4 linked regions of the Drosophila melanogaster genome follow. The protein of the gene in region 1 interacts with the protein of each later gene in a pairwise test. Each region holds a gene or a part of one and is shown in the gene's direction. Other genes may lie near its edges. The genes, in order: Tim17b2, IM33, CG17107 and Cpr60D.

The links.
Region 2: the proteins of Tim17b2 (region 1) and IM33 interact in a two-hybrid assay, tested with the Drosophila melanogaster proteins (one large-scale study listed by BioGRID).
Region 3: the proteins of Tim17b2 (region 1) and CG17107 interact in a two-hybrid assay, tested with the Drosophila melanogaster proteins (one large-scale study listed by BioGRID).
Region 4: the proteins of Tim17b2 (region 1) and Cpr60D interact in a two-hybrid assay, tested with the Drosophila melanogaster proteins (one large-scale study listed by BioGRID).

The regions. Positions count from the first base shown.
Region 1 is NT_033779.5:15,482,787-15,486,085, forward strand, and holds Tim17b2 (translocase inner membrane 17), read left to right. Parts: upstream 1-1,942; 5' UTR 1,943-2,050; coding exon 2,051-2,581; 3' UTR 2,582-2,759; downstream 2,760-3,299.
Region 2 is NT_033779.5:3,695,680-3,698,361, reverse strand, and holds IM33 (immune induced molecule 33), read left to right. Parts: upstream 1-1,703; 5' UTR 1,704-1,763; coding exon 1,764-1,830; intron 1,831-1,890; coding exon 1,891-2,072; 3' UTR 2,073-2,144; downstream 2,145-2,682. Other genes in the region: CG3604 (uncharacterized protein), read left to right, coding at 591-989.
Region 3 is NT_033779.5:10,680,427-10,683,103, forward strand, and holds CG17107 (uncharacterized protein), read left to right. Parts: upstream 1-1,539; 5' UTR 1,540-1,564; coding exon 1,565-1,855; 3' UTR 1,856-2,102; downstream 2,103-2,677. Other genes in the region: CG17105 (uncharacterized protein), read left to right, coding at 621-932.
Region 4 is NT_033778.4:24,662,150-24,665,268, reverse strand, and holds Cpr60D (cuticular protein 60D), read left to right. Parts: upstream 1-1,948; 5' UTR 1,949-1,966; coding exon 1,967-1,978; intron 1,979-2,036; coding exon 2,037-2,306; 3' UTR 2,307-2,587; downstream 2,588-3,119. Other genes in the region: ND-19 (NADH dehydrogenase (ubiquinone) 19 kDa subunit), read right to left, coding at 1-32, 86-176, 240-415, 590-718; CG30161 (uncharacterized protein), read left to right, coding at 940-1,695; CG3663 (uncharacterized protein), read right to left, coding at 2,921-3,119.

The DNA.
Region 1 (3,299 bases):
TAAACTACCGCATTTATGATCGACATCGGAATACGAGTAATCACAGTCAGGGCACAGGACACAACAATAGTGCACCATTCGAGATTTTTCAGCATTTCTTTTTTTTTTTTGGCGGCAGGCCCGGGGTCCTACCTGAGTCACATCCTTTGTCGACTCAGGCCTGCCCTTTGATTTTGAATTTTTGAATTTCATTGCCCGGCTGGAGGCTGTCGGAATTTGAATTGGACTGCTGGGGTAATGCAACCGCAATTGTTTCGCCCCCTTTGTTCTGGCTGGCGTTTTGGCATGTGCAGGGATTCTCTTCGAGCGGGCAAATGAGTTCCGTTCTGGATTCCCTTTGTAGTGGGTTATGCAGATGCATATTCCTTAAGATATAACAAAATGTTGCATCACAGCTGCCCAAACACTGGCCTCTAACGGAGCATTCGGAGATCGGAAGATGGAAAACGGAACCGTTTTAGAGATCATATCTGTTCGATATTATAATTTTTGAGTTTTTACTGTTTACATAATCATTATTGTTTTAAAAAACATTGCCACAATAGATTACCAAACCTGCATTTCTGTAGCGTACATTGTGGAGCTCGATTTACAGTTGTAGAATGCTGTTCTTAAAATTTTGAATATGGTTTTAAATTGTTCTGTATCCAAAGACAACTGCAGTTTTTTTAATTTCACATAATACGTTGGTATTTTAACAACAAATAATGTTAATAAAATTACTAAATGGGCTAGTAGGCCAATTCCATTTGGCCTGTGACTTCCCAGAAAACTGTAAGGCTCGAATCTCCGGAATTCGTGGGAAACCCATGGTCGGATCGCGTCCTAGAACGGAATGGCCAATCCTTTCGCATAATGTGCCCACATTAACACCACATCGATCTAATCCCATCTAAATCATTTATAAGCGACAACAATTACCGTGGAAATGAAGATTTCATTGGAAATCCCGCAGCAGTGGCAAACAATATGCCCAGTATTTACATTTACAAATTATATATAATGTCTTATCCTGCAGCCATTTCCCGTCAAATGATCCCCGATAACCTTCTCGGGAGTGAGAGCAATCAATCGAGTGCAACACGTTCTAACGATTTACATGTCAAGTTGACGAGATTTGTCCTGTTGAACAATGGACTGGCGCTTCGTGTGTGTCCAGGTGTCCCCTCATACTTAAATGCCTGCCCATCGATTTCGGTTTCGATCGGGGTTTCGCTTTCATTTGTCACTGCTGTCTGACACCTTGTTATGCGGAGATATCCATCGAGGGCCCGAATGCGAAGACTTCCCCCTTTTTCGAGCTAAGCAAACACAGTTGCGGCAGTTTCAAAATTTCGATTATGCTCGCGTGATAATTATGCATGCAATCGTAAGCTTCCCTCCTGAAGTAGTTTGACATACGCAGTATAAAATAGTATTGGGTCTGGAGTTCTGGTTTGGTTCGGCTTGGCTTTATCGGTCGACGACAATCGGTCTCATTGTTTCCGTTTCCCACCGTCTGGCTTTGCCTTTGTACGAATTGCGTCTTTCGAATGGCCCCATCCCCATCCCAATCCGAATCCCAATCCCCCGTCCCCTCCCCATTCTCGAGCCGAAGTTGTCCAGCTGCGGCAGTAAATTTTATGGTTAACTACGGTCCGACATTTGTGCTATTTAACCTTTTTGTGCCATTGAGCTTCGGGGCAAAAGATCCCCGATCCACGTGCGACTCTGTTTGCTCTGACTCTGGTTCATATGCTAATGGGTGTCTGGTGGGGGCACAAACAAAACCAAGTACTTCTTACTTACAACCTGTAGTTTGAAATTTGAGTTCCTGGACATGTTCTCCATGATTTTAAATCTACTAGGTATGTAGCAAGCTTAGTCGCACAATTCACAACAAACTCTGGAATTGACAGACACAAAACTCATAATTTCCTTATACATATCGAGCGACGCCAAGTCACATATAACTCATTTGTAGAAAATAAGCAGAAGGCTTGAAATTTAGCAAATTCAGTTTTTAATTTCGGCCAGTGATAGGAAATCCTGCCAGTGGAAAAGTGCAAAGATGGAGGAGTATTCGCGGGAACCGTGTCCCCATCGCATCGTCGACGACTGCGGAGGAGCCTTTATCATGGGCTGCGTTGGAGGCGGGCTCTTCCAGGGACTCAAGGGATTCCGGAACGCACCACAGGGACTAGGACGCAGGGTCGCCGGCAGTGTGGCTGCCATCAAGACCAAATCTCCGGTGATAGGTGGAAGTTTCGCCGCCTGGGGTGCAGTGTTCAGCATTGTGGACTGCAGTCTGGTCCACTTTCGCCAAAAGGAGGATCCCTGGAACTCGATAGTGAGCGGAGCAGTTACTGGTGGAATTCTGGCCTCACGCAATGGAGCGGCGGCCATGGCTGGAAGTGCAATTATCGGTGGCGTACTGCTCTCAATGATCGAGGGCTTAGGCATATTTTTTACACGTTTCGCGGCGGAACAGTTCCGAAATCGTGAACCGCATATCATGCCTGATGCCAATGAAGGATACGGTGACTTCAACTCTTCCGGATTTGGATTTCCGGGTGCTCAGCAGGCCACTGCAACTAGCTAAATTCCGATTTTTCTTGTCTGGGTATATTAATACGTAGTCCTTTTTGATTTTCATAAGTGCTAGATTTAGCAATATTCCATTTGAAAAATTCGATGACAATAAAATATGGACAAAATTGCAGTATTTCCATTTAAGCTGTTTTTGCAAAGGAACCAATTTATTAAATTTCAAACAATTTAACACGGATTTATAATTATTAAAATACAATTAGCTGCCGTTTGCAGCTCGTTTTGGAAGAAGGAACAAATGCAATTGGCCCTCTTATCGTTCTCCGTGTTAATTCATTCGTATTCATAATCATTATTGCCTCAACAGGTAGTAGGTTGTTTCACACTTGCCCGAATCCACGACAAAGACACCTGACACGTGTCATAGGTCAGCGTGAGATATTGGCAAATGTTTACCTGTTCCAGATGACTACCTGCGATGCTGCGCCGGCGCATAGAGTCAAGTGTCCGGTCGGCGGGTGTGGCCACTTTACAACCTGTCCACTCGAGATGACCGCGGTGTTCTGGCCATTAGACTGAGTGAGGTACTGAGTGGCACTGGCTACCGGCCACATGTCCTGCTCCTAGCTGGAAAGTCTCGAGCGCACTCAAATCAGAACTTTTCCCCCGCAAGGCAAAAAACCAAAGGCAACGCCGATTTCCCAGCAACACATGGACGGTGGGAAGATGGGAAGTCGAGCCCAGTTATAAAATCGTGGGAAAACGCCGCC
Region 2 (2,682 bases), about 12 Mb from region 1:
TTTGAAAATTACCTAATGATTAGAATCGCAAACGAGCGATTATTAGGAACATTTCTTAACCAGACAGTTTATTCATTTCTTCTGAAGCTCCAAAGCTTACCCCATTCGTTAGATACACAAAAAACTTCAACCGACAGTTAACCAGTTTATAGGTAATTCAGTTAGATTCCCATTCCGCTCGCTAAACGTGATTTGGCTGACTAAAATTGTCACACCGATACGGAAGCCACTTGGAATATGATTTTATGGCCAGCATTATGATTGACTTGCGTTGGTGCGTTGATCTGCAATTGAAGGTTGGGCCGCGAAAGCTTCTCCGAGAGCTGTCAGTGCCAGGTGATATCGATATGGACGTGGATATAGACGTCAGAGAGGCACCGCCGTGATTTACATGCGGCGACGAATCAGTTGGACAAACAAGCTGGCGCTCCGATAAATGAAGTACACAAAAAGAGGCAAAACGGTGGGCAAAAACCCAGTTGAGTGAGTATAGTAGTACGTGAGTTAATCAGTTCGGACGGATAGTATTTAAGCCGCAATATCCGAGCGAGCCGAAATCATTCGCTCATCATCCACTCAACGGACTCGAAATGTGCTTTAGATATAGCTTCAGTTTCATAGTATTCGCGGCTGTTCTGCTCCTGGCAGCCGGAATTCGTGCAGCTCCCTCGGATGTCGTCGTGGAGAAGGCGGAGGAGCCCGCGGTGGCCAAACCCCTGCCTGATGCCAGTGAGCTCACTGTTCCGGAGGACTGTCATCAGCCCAAGGAAACCGGTCGCTGTTTCGCTCTGTTCTATCGCTACGCCTACAACGTGGATACACAATCCTGCGAGGAGTTCGTTTACGGTGGATGTGCCGGCAACAAGAACAACTTCGAATCCAAGGAGCAGTGCGAACAGGCATGTTTGGTAAAGTCTGCGGTTTCCTCCACGGACTCAACAACCGAACAAAACAGCGAAGTGGCCACAGAAACTAGCACCTCGTCTTAAAAAATTGTAGTTCTTAGTTTGTAATTTATTTGTCATCCAACTTCATCAGCCTTTTAAAAGCATTTCTTTACTGAGTTGATTATTTGAATAATTTGATTATAAATTTTAATAAATATACCATTGTGATTTATATATCTATTTCGTTTTATTCGCACATCTGGTACTAGCAGTACAGTATGTAGATACATTTGTAAGTGTCAGAAGTGGTTAGCAGTACATCTCGGAAAGTCATTAATTTCGAAACCCGACGGACTCACAAAAACTTGAGTCATGAATAGACGATTTTAATTAATCTTGGGAACTAAACAGTGTAAACAGTAATTTTGATAAAATATGACTACTTTTATAATGCACTTATATCGCAAAGATTCTGAAAACGAAATGTATAAATATATTATACAAGCAAAAGAGGAAATAAATGAAATTTGGGAAAAAATCGGACAAACCCACTTCCGAATGACAAATCGCTGCCTAATCGTGTTTACTTTATTCAGAACGTAGTTCCTAGATTTATTTGCTATTCCGGCATTATTTTCAGTACAAACACTAGCACTAGCACATAGTACTCGAAGTCTCGTCTGTTTATATACCAAATTCACGAGCACTCGTTAATGAACCGAAAGTTCATGAGCATATAGATAAGATCCCCAGCCAATATGTAGTTCCCATCTGCCGATCGGCATGGCGTATATAACCTAGTGCTACACCTCCGATTTCCATTAGTCGTTCCACGGAAGCTGGGAGATATACATAGTTTTCAAAATCGCAATCAGTATGAAATTCATTGCTGCCGTCTGTTTGATGTTCGCCCTGGTGGCTGTGGCCCTCGGCCTCAAGGATCGTAAGTTGGGAGCTGCTCAGGAAATCGAAACCATTCTAATTCACATTCTCAATCTATTAGCTATCTGTGGACTGCCCGCTGGTATTGATGGCAATGGTCTCATCAAGTGTGCCGCTTTTATACCCAGCTTCAGTTATCATCCCGAAACCAATTCGTGTGAAAAGTTCATCTACGGCGGATGCGGCGGCAATGAGAACCGATTTGGAACCCAGGAGCTCTGCGAACAAAAGTGCAAGGAATAAATTTGACCTCTATGCTCTACAAAATATTCAATAAATGATTTTCGATAAATAACTTTTTGGACGATTCTTTATAACTTACCTCATTTTACATCACATAAAGAAAAAAACAAGGTTCGTTTTGATCGCACTATCGGGCAAAGTTTAAGTTGCTGAATTAATTAAGAGACTAGAAAAAAGTACACCCAGAAAAATTGAGAATTAACCTTCGATTTCGAGACGAAAACGATCTGAATGTTGATATTTTCAGACGGAAGGGAAAGGTTGAAAAACTGAGAGAGGAAGGCAAATGAGAGCAAAGTCATTTGCAATCTGAGTATGGTGAGCATTATTCAATCTTAGCTAGATTTTGGGGTCGAAATTGTCAAATCGAGATGGTTGAAAACGGATTTTTCTCTGAGTGTCTTTTTTTTATTATATTATAGTAAAAAGAGGGGTTCCAACGAACAACTGAAACATTTAAGTGGAATTTTTAAACACTTACGAAATGGACCTATCAAATGAAATGAAATATTTTACGGAGCTTTCGCCATGGCCGTTGTAAGTATGACACTTCCCGTTGTTCCTATCGATAAGAGAACATATCCATAATTACAACACTTGTTGAGCTCAT
Region 3 (2,677 bases), 4.8 Mb from region 1:
TCCATTTGAACTTGAGCGGCAGTCGCTAAACTGCATGTTGAATATGGTTCGAATGAATGCGGATCGAAGGTTTTGGCGATACGGGTTTTTTTTTTTTTGGCCACTTAACTGGCCTTTATTTACTAAGCCAACTGACTTAGTAAGCTCTAGGTCGTGGGATGTACCGATATCAGGCAGTTAGTCATAAGCTTAACGGGATGAAGAAAAATATATATATTAAGATGGTAACCACAATTGCAGAAATGAAATTAATAGATTAGTTATTTCTATCATAACATTGAAGTAATTTCTCTATCTCTCCATTTTCCTTGCTTATGAATAAATTTATCCTGGACATTTAATGACCCAAATTACTACAGTAGATTGATTTGTAAAACAAAAAGATTCGCAAATATTTCTCACTGTATGCTTGCTACAGTAAGCTCTGGCTATAAAAGCTTCATTCGCAGAAAATAAAAACAACTTCTGTTACAGCCGAAAACTATGCCACTTATATATTTAAGCTCTAGTTAACCATTGTTAACAAGTTAAGTAGACTTATTTTTGCTTTCTTTGTTTCATTATGGAAATTAAGTTGTCATACGAAAAAAAAAAAACACAGGATAGTGGGACATCCCACGATGAAATTATATGCACTCTGCGCTATCCTGCTCCTTGCCATTGTGGCAGTCCAAGGATATCCTGGTATACACGGTGGCTTTGGACACGGAGGACACGGTGGACTCAGTGGCTTGGGAGGACTTGGCGGCTTAGGAGGACGCGTTGGTTTCGGAGGACCCGGTGGCTATGGAGGACCCGGTGGCTACGGAGGACTCGGTGGCTACGGCGGACCCGGTAGCTACGGCGGTGGTGGTGGAGGCGCAGTAGCCACTGCCAACGCTAATGCAAACGCAAACTCAGTTGGTTACAGTCCGGGTGCTTACTACGGATAAGGAATGATGATAACAGCAGTCCAGAAACGGCAATTGCTTTAAAAAATAAACAAATGCATAATTATTGCATAAAGACTAAGACATTTTTCTATTATTACTTTTGCCAAACGTTATCAACACAATGGCCTTACCTTCTATGTATAATATACTATAAATATAAATTTATTAATTTTTAATTATTATTTATTAAGTGAAGAATATATATATAATTTTCGGGTTCAAAAGTTGTAATCACCGGAAAAGGAATTTTGTATAAAATGTGTAAACAGAAGCAAATCTAAGGACTTACATGATAAACTAGTTTTTATAGCTGATTATCATAATGAATTTATCTGAGCTTTTTTACAGCCTGAAAATATACTTTACCAAAACATGGCTTGCCAAAGCTAACCAGTTTTCAATTATTGATAACATAGTATATAAGCATATACTATACATATAGGTAATATTAAACGTCATGCGTTTTTAATATATGTCTAATTAATGTGCTAATCGAAGCCCCCATATATATGCCGATACAATATCGATTCTGTGATTTTTTTTGTTTTTCAGATAAACAAGTCGTCCACCTGTCACGGATGCTGGTATAAAAGAGGCCAGCACGCGATCACAAAACATCGCAATCTCTAACGATGAAGTTCCTGGCTATCTGCATTTTTCTAATCTTCGCCCTGGTGGCCGTTCAGGCACATCCTGGTGGATTCGGCGGATTCGGTGGAGGCGGTGGTGGCGGTGGTCGCGGTGGAGGCGGTGGAGGCGGTGGAGTCGGTGGAGTCGGCGGTTCGAACGCAGTTGCCAACGCGAATGCCGCTGCAACCGCCGACAGCAGAGGAGGCGGCCCAGCTTCCGCCTCGGCCTCGGCCACTGCAACCGCCAACGCCAGCTCCGGAGGAGGTGGAGGTGGACATGGCAGACATGGATAGGCTCGAAACGGATTCATAACTGTACTCTCGAAAAGTGGGCACGTCCGCTGACAGACCTACTAAACTGAAACCAATACCAATACCAATAAATATTAAAATGCTAATTCTGTTTTTGGAAATCCAAGATGTTGTTTTCGTATATTAGGTTAATAACCAGTTTATGAGTCGGGCATTATTTATAGATCTAATGACGTCAAACAAGATTTCTCTAGCCTCCTAAAAACAGACTAAGTTAACAGCGGGAGCTAATATTAGAAACTATGTTTTAAAATGTATCTAACAACTTGAATTACAACTGAAAAGTATGCATTATATATATATAGTTTTTGCAAATAGTTAGTGCATCTCAATTTTAATTTAATTTATTTTTATATTTAAAATCATTAAGCTCATTTCATTCATCATTTGTTTGTACAGCTTACCCGGAAATCCAAACAATTTGTGAGTTTTTTTTTTTTGTGTGATTACTTTTTTTATGTAATTAAGTAATTGCATTTGCCACCCACAACAAGTCTTGAATTTGGCCACTTACGGAGTGACACACTCAATTTCAGCAGGTCTAATAAATCGAAGATATTTTTTCACAAATGAAGTCCGACGTCTCTTGATATATTGTCAAGCTTCTTAAAACTCGGGTTTGCAATATTTAAATTTGCAAATTATCAACATCTGGATAAGTTTCTACGTTTACGGTAGCCAAACCTTTCCGAAATAAAACTAGTTTTATACCCCTTAATCGTACAGTAATAGGGTATGCTAGGCTTATTAGAATGTATGAAACAGATAGAAGGAGCATTTTCAATCTATATTGCATTCAGATTT
Region 4 (3,119 bases), on another chromosome or scaffold:
TTCTTGGGTGCTTCCCGAGCTGATTGGATGACCTGAAAACAGAAGTGATTAGGAGAGGTCTAAATAAAGCATGCCGAGAAATTACCTTGGCCCTCGAGAAGTATCCATAGGAGGGACGATCCCAGTCGAAGTTATCTTTGATACACTTGTCGAACACTCCCTGGGTCTTGCGGCAACTAAAGTATGGATGGACATTGGTATAGCATGATTGGAATATTCAACATTTACGGAGTGCTTACTGTGAAAAAGCCATAGTACCGCTGCTCTTATCCAGGCAGGTGGCGTACTGCGTGAACTCCTCATGGCAGGTCTTCTTCACCTTGCGGAAGAAGTCCAGGGCGCAGCTGGTCACGGCTTTGCCCTCCGCCAAACAGGCTCGCGGGTCATCCAGCTCCTGCCGGCACAGCATAAACTCCTGAAATTACACGAAGGAAAAGGTAAACAAACGGGGAAGGTGCTTTTTGAGGTTAGGTTATATAACTAAGCCGCTCGGATTTTAAAGAGGCAGCGGCTCCCAGCTTCACTTTAAGGCGCTTTTCACCTAAGCATTACTATCAGGAGGATTCCCCTGCAATCTGGATGTACTAACATTATTGGCCTGCTCGCATTGCTTGCCCAAATGGAAGGCGCCTGCCCGTAAGGCCGCCGACGATAGATTTAGCTCCTGGACGTTCAGCTCCGACTCCTCGGGCAGTGTTGTGTTGTTGGTGATGACCATAATAGCGTTGCAGTCCTGTGCGATCAACCAAAAACCTGAAAGGCTATGAAATTCAATAAAAAACAAAATAATTGTAGGATTTTGTTAATTTTACGTTTGCTTACAACACAACAGCTGATTTAGATCCAGGGCTGCTGAGACGTAGCTGTCAATAACAATTTATATCGATAGTGTAGCCGTTTCACAAAGTCATCGATAACAGGCTCACAATTTAAATTAAAATGATTTCTTTAATCTTATACATCTGTCTATTTTATAGTGCTGCAGCTGATCGCAATTTAAAAGTAGTTAAGTATGAGAATTCGGTTGACACCATTGTTAAGAACCTCATCGACAACTGGCAGTCGCCGCTAGTTTACCTGAAAAGCCGCGGCTACCTGCCGAAGGATGCGCCCGAAATGGATTTCCAGCAGCTGCAAGGGAACTTGGACCCCAAATTGTCGTTAAACGACTTAGTTGAGCTGAACAAGGATTCCAAGCGGGAGGCGGAAACCAAAAGCCAAGACAATTCCATTGGGCAGATTGATCCGCGGGCAGTCCGATCGCTACAAGATCCCAAGGACCTCGAGCTGAAGAAGATGTTCCAAACGCTGTTCTCTTCGAACGACAAGACTGCCTCCGAGGAGATCAAATCCAAGCTGGGAGTGTCCTGGGATATGAATGCTTTAAAGACATCCGCCCGTTTGGGTGCCAAGAAATATCTCGAGAAGTTCAACAACAAGCGAAATAAGGGGATGTCTCTCTTGCCAATTGAATCCTCAGATGGGACACTTACTAACGAGGCATCTCTAAATTTTTCCTCACTTATACCGCATGCCTTGGAAAAGAAAAGCAACGATTCTGTGAGAAAAACCACTATCAGTAAGCCAAGCTTTCTGAAGGGTGTGGCCAAGATTCTGAGCAATCCAGAAATTAGGTATAGAGACTGGGATTCCAAGCCTGCACAAGAAATCCTTCCGAAGGCCGCGGGCGCATAGTTTTCAAATTCATTGTTGATGATTAAATGTTCTTTTAGTAGCAAAATGGGTTAACAAAATCGCAATCAATTAGTTGGGGGAGGCTGGCCTGCTTCTGGTGCCAGAAGCAGACTCGATTGAGTAGCCGCAAATTTCATATTCATGGCTGTCTGGTTAATCTCAGTCATTTCATTAGCAGATGCGATTGAAACCCGTTTAGTGGGCTAGGCAGCTTCGGAGTATAGTATAAAAGGCCGACGGGCATTGTTTCATTTCAAGAAGCTGCTCCAAAATGCTGAAATATGTGAGTTTAATCGGATTTCAAACAGACTATTGGATAATCAGCCACCTCTCAATTTCAGAGCCTTATCTTTGCCCTTTTCGTCGTTTTGGCCAGCTGCAGTGAGGAGGATCTGCAGGCGCAACTTCTGAAGTCGGAGAACCGCCAGAACCTGGATGGAGCTGGGCAGTTCCAGCATGAGATCACGGTCAGCAATGGGATCCAAGTGAAAGCTCAAGGCAATGTGAACGGCATCCAGGGCGAATACTTCCTTCCCGGCGAAGATGGCAAGCAAATTCGCGTGACTTACACCGCAGATGCAACCGGCTTCCATCCGAAGGTTGAAGAGTGACCGAGTGACTTTGATGTTATGTTAATCTTAACTTATAAAACGGCGGTTTTTTCCATAAAATGAGTGGTGAGGTAATGTCTTGTTGTTCCAATAAAACGTTCCCCTGGTAGAACTCATATTGAGAGCTGTTGGGCTACAGTTCATAGAGCGCTTCAGCATCTTCATCCAAGGGTCTGTCCAATTAGACATTGCGCTTACAGAGCCCCTGAATGGGTCATGTGGAATGATGATGATTTCCTCATCCCACACTGCTGCACAAATAAAAGGTTACCGAACAGCACTCAGCTTTATAATCAATGCCGACAGGCGGCATAAAATACGCATTGTCATCCGCATAATAAGGAACCCAGCGGAAATGGGGCAAAGTGGGGGAACTCACCGGAAGGGAAGCCATTGGGGCTATTGTTAAACGGCAAATTCAAATATGGACTCGCCCATTGTGCGGGGCCATTGGAATATGTTACGGAAATGACAACTTAAATGGGTGCTGCTCCCATTCGGCCCATTCGGCCCATTTCCCATCCGCGTATCCTTGAAAAGCACAATTCTGCATGATGGTTTTATAAATGCAATTGGCTTTATAACAAACAGATATTTAGACAGGAGGGGCTATCTCACAGCTTGGCACTGCCCGCTGGCACTCCGCTCCCGTTGCGCGTGAGTTCCATATCCACCGACGGCTGGTTCACCAATTTCCGGACCACATCGAACTTGGGGTTGTTCTTATCTCGAACCAAGTCGAAGATAACGCTCTCACTAGTGGTGATCACACAGCCCGCTTGACGCAGGCGATCCAGGGCTAGATCTCGATCC